Linked DNA regions of Elephas maximus indicus. The protein of the gene in region 1 binds, or shares a complex with, the protein of each later gene. Links are inferred from orthologs where the notes say so. Each region holds a gene or a part of one and is shown in the gene's direction. Other genes may lie near its edges.

Region 1 (3,748 bases):
AAATTCACCTTTTAAAATGTACAATCCAATGGTTTTTAGTATATTTACAGAGCTGTGCAACCATCTGCCATAATCTAATTTTAGAACATTTTTTCATTATTCCTCCCCCCCCCCAAAAAAAAACCTGTAGTCAATAGCAGTCTCTCCACATTCTCCTTCCACCCCTCTTTCCCAGCCCCAGGCAACCACTAACCTATTTTCTCTCTGGATAGATTTGCCTGTTCTGGACATTTCATATAAATGAGATCGTACAATATGTGTCTTTTGTGATAGGTGTCTTTCACTTAGCATTAACTCAATAAACTTTTGACCTCGACCTTCTGCCTCTGAAGATAAGACAGTATCCTCGCATTTTTCATTAGTTTGAGGATTGGGTATAACTGGTAGGAGACGAAATTAATAAGCTAGTCAGAGCCAGTAGACTTTTCTCCATCACATAAACTAATCCATCTTGCCAATGTTAAAAAATACCAGAGTGTGCAAATATAAACTGCAAAGCAATGTGTGTCCATGGGTACCTAAATGACACTATGTGCCCCAGAATTCAGAAAGGAAGGAAGGAAAGAAAAAAATGAACACATTGACCAATGTCAATACTTAACTTCCCTCTTGGGAAAACTGGTGGTCACAGAGTATGTAATAAAAAAAATTTTTTTTAATTAATTTATTATTTTTTTAATAAATCGATAGAAATCTGTGTTGGGTGCCGGGACAGGACCCTGGAGAGCCACTCCTGAAGGAAAGCAAATAGGAACCTCACAGAAAAATCAAATTTTCCGTTCTGCCCTTTCCCCCTCTTCTTGCTGGCAGGCTTGATCTTCATTAGTTTGCTTAAATATTTGGAAGTGAGTTTAGGGCCCTCCCCCCAACTTATGATTTTATAGCCAATAGGTGATGAGGTTTATTTGCATATTTCCAGTCACATAAGCAGCCCTGGAGTGGAGACAGTGTCAGACTCAATTCCTCCTCCTCCTCCGAGGAAATCTGCCACTTCTAGCTGTCCAGCCCATCTCTTTAAAGGGCGACTTGCCCCACGCCGCACCGCGGCTCCAGCCCTCTCTGGCCTCGGATTCAACCAGTACATTGGTCCGCCCGCGCGCCCCCCTGTGCCGTGAGGCTACTACAGAGGCACGCGTCCCGAGATGAAGAGCAAAGCAGTGCTCCTGGTGGCCCTGGGCGTGTGGCTCCAGAGTCTGCCCGCCTCTCACAGAGGGGTGACCGCCGCCCAAGGTAAGTTTTGCGCGCAGCCTCGTCCTACACCTGCAGATGCTGCTCCTTGGCCACTAGCACACGCTCTAAGGATGGGAAAGAGGAAGTTGGAAGGGGCTGAGAAGGAACACCGGCGACTCCCCCGTCCGAGCTCTGGTACCCGGGTAGGACCACCTGGGTGGGGCCCAGGAGGGGTAGAGGGGAAATTTTCCCTCCGATTTCGCTGGGGGGCTCTCAGCTCCCGCTTTCCTTCTCTCCTGGTTTCCCGCGCTGTTCCCTGCACTTGGGCGGCTGCAGCGGCGGTATTCCGGGGCGCGCGCGCAGAGCCGGGGAGGGTGTGGGGAATGTGAGGGCGGGACCAGGAAGGGAAGGGCCCGGATGGGGTGACTGGCAGTAACTTCCTCGCTCTGGGGGCCCTGGAATGAAAGGCACGCGGGCCAAGGTGACCCCGGCTTGGCCGCGGCAGAGGTTCAGCCCGCTCCTGTGGGAGCGCGGGCAGAAAGTGGCCCCTTATTTTGGAGAAGCCGGCCCCGGGAGGGGGTAAATGCATAGTCTGCATCTTAAAAGCGCAAGGCACCCTTGTGCTCTGGAATGAGTGAGGGGAACACGTGGCGCGGTGTCCTGGGGACGCTGCGTCCCGCACGCGTTAGGACGCCCGGGAAGCTCTCCAGCTTCCATGCACCCACGCTTTGCTTAGCGCCGAGAAAATCTAGCCAAGGGCTGACCCTCCTGAAAACGTAGCGTAGCGACAAGCAGCCTCTGGCTAAATCTGCACTCAGTTTCCTTCCCCTCGTGTGCGAGTTGGGGCTAGCTCTGGGCGCCGAGCCTGGCGTTGCGGCCGCGAACTCATGGAGCTCCTGGCCACCGCGGGGAGGCAGCGGGCTGAACCCCCGTTACCGCCGCGGGCTCGCACGCCTTTTAAGACATTTAGAGCGAGATGCGAATTTCTTTATCGCAAGGAACAGGAGTGTCCAGCCCAAGCCTTGCCCACGGTAAAGGCAGTCTGAGTAACTTGAACCTTGGTTCAGCTGAAGTACAATAGCAACTCTGAAGGCAACTGAAAAAAAAAAAAAAAATTTTTTTTTTTTAGCAAGTAATAAAAGAGTCAGCATTTTCTTTTCTCTTCCGTCGTGGAATTCCAGTTGGGTCAGTGTCTGTTGGATGTACTCTCAAATGGCACGTCGTCCGCAGATGTTCAAGTCATAGTCGAGTTTACCCACGACTTTGCAGCTGAAAGGTGGTTTTATATCGGCACCGACTTGTGAAATAAAATTATTGTTAGATTTTTTTTTAAAAGGAGATTTCATGAAAGCTACATTTGATGGAAAAATTTACCATTATCTTTCTGTCAGATGGGTTTGAAAACACTGCAGGTTCAGTTAGGAAGTCTTAAACGTCATATGTAGTGGTCTGTTCCTCTCAGTAGCGTTCCCAGGGTCCGCGAAGATGGAAGGAATGAACTCCAAGCTCTCATTTCAGAACGTATATACGTAGTACAAGGTTACGCTTGCCGGAAAACACACGCAAACCTATGCCATCCACATTTTAAGTTTTTGCTATCCTGCATTAGAGGTTCACGAGCCTAAATTTTGGGGCAGGTCACTGCAGCCTCTCTGGATTTAGCTGCTTCAACCCTAAATGAGGAGTATGGACCAGAATGGAAGTTCTTTGAGGCCTCTCTAATTCTCAATCTTTGATTCAAGTGGACACTTAAGTAATTAAATTGGATTTTAACCAACACGTGCCTTCCCTGGCTGAAAATGTATTACTAAAGGAGGCATTGCTTGTTAAGTCAGCCCTTTGCCTTTGAATCTGTCACTAGAGGACAGAGTAGAACTGCCCCATAGAGTTTCCAAGGAGCGCCTGGTGGATAACCATCCTTTTGATTAGCAGCTGGACTCTTAACCACTGTGCCACCAGGGTTTCCTGATGTGTAAGTAGATGTTAAATTACTCCCACCCTTCACTCTCCCTGTACATCCACCTCTCCCATCATAGCTGCTTCACTCTGCTTTTCTCCTCTAAATGAATTCACCTAGGAATGTAAGAATTTCAGAGTGAGAAAGACACATGTGTGGGCAATGGTAGGCAGCACTTTCTCTGGGCTCTGACTGTATTTATTCATTTTCTATTTCTTTCCAAGAAGAATATGAGGATATGAGGCCCTGCCCTCAGGCTCTTTGCTCTGGGAGCCACCACAATCTCTTCAGGGACCCAGTTAGGAAACTTGAAGAACTGGGAGAGGGAGCAGAAGGGTCAGTGCTCAATAGCTGCAGTTCCCTTTGACTGGCCACAGTGAATTTCCAGGGTGACGTCTGAGTTAAGCATGATGGGTAATGAGAACAAAATAGCAGATGTCACCTTCTATTAGAGCTCAGCTAGGGAGTGATTGACTAATAGCTGAATAGAAAGGTGGCAGGCACGGGGAAGAGTTATAGTGAAAAATGTTCACTGTCTATCAAACAGCCTATTTTTAGCTCAGTCTTCCGTTCTTACTTTATTCCTAAGGAGAATAGGGCTATCCAGTTTACTGACTTCTT
Region 2 (3,748 bases), on another chromosome or scaffold:
GGAAAGTGACTTTGGCCCCCAGGACAGGAAAAGGCAGGCAGCCAGGTGGTCAGGAGGCCAGGCTACATTCTCCTCATAGCCAGCTGAGGAAGCTGAGCCAGAGAATTTCAGGCTGGCCCTGAACCCAAGCAGGGAAAGAGGAGCCAGGGTCCAACCCAGGGTTCTCTCTCCAGAACCCACTCTCAACCTGCCCTCCAGGAGGACACCAGAGAACCAAAAACCACCCTCTCCTCTTCCCCTGCCATTGACAGTCAGGGAAACTGAGGCACACTGAGTTAAGGGCTGGTCCAAGCCACAAAGCATACCAGTAGGGGGCAGGCTGAACCCGACTCTGTCTCCGGTTCCAATCCAATATTCCCCCAGCCTCTGCCCCCTGCACACAGCCAGCCCCTTCACAGCCCTCGGGACAGAGAAAGGGGACTTCTCAGGGAGTCCTACCCTCTACACTGTCCGTGGCCTGCCACAGGTGGTCAAAGCTGTGGATGGGGGTGCCCCAGGGAAAGAATTGGGGGGCTGCCAAGCCATTCCAGCCGCCCCACCAGCAGCCTAGGCTGCTTACACAATACACTGCTCAAGGCCAGAGGTGGGTGGGACTGATGGCTTTCCAGCCCAGAGGGCACAGAGGCCCCACCCACAGCGGTCCCCAGAAGCCTCCTTCCCTATCTGGTCCTGCCAAATCTCCCCCAGAAAATGAGGGCCCAGGGGACCTTGCCCTGGAAAGCCGGGGTGTGGAGCAATGCCCATGGTGGATTGGAAGGGCTGGGCTTGGAGTGGGGACTCCAGGCAAACCGCTGCCCCACCTCAGTTTCCCCATCTGTGAAATAGGGCTAGGTCAGAGGTCCGAAGAGTGGATATGTTCGTGTTCTGGGTCTAAGTGTTGGTGGGTGGCTCCCAGCCCAGGGCTGCTCCAGGCACTGTGGTCTCACCCACAGACATAATGCCAAGGAAGGCGAGGAAAGGGCAGAGGTGAGACGGGTGGCCAGGGCAGGCCTCTGCAGAAGCGGCAGCTAAGCAGAGACTAAATAGGGTGAGAAGAGGCATGAAGAGCACACCAAGCAGAAGGGCGAGGGGCAGCCAGGGGCCCCACTGGACGAAAGGCTGAGGAGGTGAGTGCACATTGGACAGGAGGACATCTGCCATGTTTTTATTTAAAATACTCTATAAAAAACAAAATAAAACCCATTGCCGGCTGGTTAATTCCAACTCATGGTGACCTCACGTGTTGTAGAGTAGAACTGCTCCTTAAGGGTTTTCTCTTTATGGAAGATTGCCAGGCCTTTCTTCCATGGTACCTTTAGGTTAGCAGTCAGTCACAAAAAGAGGCCCTGAAATGTCTGTGATCCTCACCTTTTTTTTTACTGTGCTCTAGGTGAACCTTTACAGAGCAAATTACTTCCCATTCAATAGTCTGTACGTTGTGTTCAGTGACACTGGCTGCATTCCCCTCAACGTGTCAGCACTCTCCCCATTTCCACCCCGGGTTCCCCGTTTCCTTTTGTCCAGATTTTCAACCCTTTCTCGCCTTCACTTTTGGGCAAATGCTGTCCTTTTGATCTCCTATGATTGATTGTTCTAAGGAGCACATTCCTCTCGGGTGTTATTGTTTATTTTATGGTCCTGTCTATTGTTTGGCTGAAAGGTGGTTGATCCTCACCCTGAGGTCTAAAGCCATGGGTCACTAGGCTGCACCAGAGGGTCTGAGTTTTGCAGCCTGGGACCTCCAGATTCCACAGGGCAGTGTCATGAACTGCTTAAGATGGCCCTTCTAGCCACAGTCTTTGTAACTCCCACCAAATGATTGGTTGGGCCATGCTAATAGGCTGTATGGAACCCTAACAATGGAATTGGTCAGTTTTACAATCCCGCTAAGCTTAAAATGGGCCTTCCCAGAGGTGAGAAGGGAGGATCTCACCACCACCAAACAAGAAGAGCCAAGAGTGGAACTCGTCGTTTGGACCTGGGATTCCTGTGCTGAGATCCTCCTAGACCCAGGAGACAGAGAAAGAACTGCAACGCTGAAGACAGCAAGATGGTGAGAAGCAGCAGCAGAGGGAGGAGACCAGCAGGAGATGGCATGGTGGGCTTCCTGGGACACGAAAGCTGAGTGCCTTCAGGAGGAGGCTTTCTGGAGGACTAGGTGCCTCTTCTCACGAGTCTGTCAGTTTGTCGTATCGTGGGGGCTTGAGTGTTGCTATGATGCTGGAAGCTATGCCACCAGTATCACCCATGGCAGACAGGTTTCAGCTGAGCTTCCAGACTATGACAGACTAGGAAGAAATAGAACCCCGCAGTCTTCCTCCGAAAAGAATTAGCCAGTGAAAACCCTATGAACAGCAGCAGAACACTGTTTGATATAGCGCTGGGAGATGAGCCCCCCAGGTTGGAAGGCACTCAAAAGATGACAGGGGAAGAGCTGCCTCCTCAAAGTAGCATCGACCTTAATGACGTGGATGGAGTAAAGCTTTCAGGACCTCCATTTGCTGATGTGGCATGACTCAAAATGAGAAGAAACAGCTGCAAACATCCATTAATAATCAGAACATGGGACATAAGAAGTATGAACCTAGGAAAATTGGAAATCACCAAAAATGAAATGGAATGCATAAACATCAATATCTTAGGCATTAATGAGCTGAAATGGACTGGTACTGGCCACTTTGAATTGGACAATCTTATGGTCTTTATGCCGGAAACAACTTGAAGAGGAATGCCATTGCATTCATTGTCAAAAACAACATCTCAAGATCTATTCTGAAGTACAACAGTGTCAGTGATAGGATAGTATCCATACTTCTACCAGGAAGACAAGCTAATACAACTATTATTCAAATTTACCCACCAACCTCTAAGGCCAAAGATGAAGAAATTGAAGATTTTTACCAGCTTCTGCAGTCTGAAATTGATCGAACATGCAATCAGGATGCACTAATTACTTGGGACTGGAACGCGAAAGTTGGAAACAAAGGAGAGGGATCGGCAGTTGGAAAATACTGCCTTGGTTATAGCAACAATGCCAGAAATCTCATGGTAGAATTTTGCAAGACCAATGACTTCTTCATTGCAAATATCTCTTTTCAACAACATGAATGACATATACACGTGGGCCTCACCAGACGGAATACACAGACATCAAATCGACCACATCTGTGGAAAGAGACGATGGAAAAGCTCAATATCATCAGTCAGAACAAGATCAGGGGCTGACTATGGAACAGACCATCAATTGCCCAAATGCAAATACAAGTTGAAACTGAAGAAACTGAAGAAAATGAGGATAAGTCCACGAAAATCAAAGCACAACGTTGAGTTTATCCCACCTGAATTTAGAGACCATCTCAAGAGTAGATGAGACGTGTTGAATGCTAATGACCAAAGACCAGATGAGTTATGGGATGACATCAAGGACTCCATACAAGAAGAAAGCAAGAGGTCATTAAAAAGACAGGAAAGAAAGAAAAGACCAAAATGGATGTCAGAAGAGACTCTGAAATTTGTTCTTGAATGTGTCCAGCAGCTAAAGCAAAAGGAAGAAACAGTGAATGAAGTGAAAGAGCTGAACAGAAGATTTCAAAGGGCGGCTCAAGAGGACAAAGTATTATAATGACAAGTGCAAAGAGCTGGAGACAAAAAAACAAAGGGGAAGAACGCTCTTGGCATTTCTCAAGCTGAAAGAACTGAAGAAAAAATTCAAGCCTCAAGTTGCAATAGTGAAGGATTTTATAGGGTAAATATTAAATGATGCAGGAAG

Evidence for each region. The genes of interacting proteins can lie anywhere in the genome.
Region 2: the proteins of LPL (region 1) and GPIHBP1 are in contact, whole or in part, in a crystal structure (PDB 6OAU), measured with the Homo sapiens proteins. The link is inferred for Elephas maximus indicus from reciprocal best matches to the Homo sapiens genes LPL and GPIHBP1. Residues at the interface, in NP_000228.1 of Homo sapiens: Tyr367, Gly368, Thr369, Ala371, Glu372, Glu374, Leu403, Met404, Lys406, Lys430, Lys440, Ile443, Cys445, Ser446, Arg447, Glu448, Val463, Lys464, Cys465, His466, Asp467, Ser469; in NP_835466.2 of Homo sapiens: Cys68, Lys69, Ser70, Leu92, Ala94, His95, Gly96, Asn97, Thr98, Glu99, Ser100, Leu103, Thr104, Thr105, Ser107, Trp109, Cys110, Thr111, Asp112, Ile117, Lys119, Val121, Glu122, Thr124, Val126, Met128.

Annotation. Positions count from the first base shown.
Region 1 is NC_064840.1:55,317,577-55,321,324, reverse strand, and holds the start of LPL (lipoprotein lipase), read left to right. Parts: upstream 1-945; 5' UTR 946-1,142; coding exon 1,143-1,230; intron 1,231-1,241; exon of another isoform or gene 1,242-1,373; intron 1,374-3,748. UniProt on the Homo sapiens protein: Key enzyme in triglyceride metabolism.
Region 2 is NC_064833.1:1,698,265-1,702,012, reverse strand, and holds the start of GPIHBP1 (glycosylphosphatidylinositol-anchored high density lipoprotein-binding protein 1), read left to right. Parts: upstream 1-1,039; 5' UTR 1,040-1,106; intron 1,107-3,748.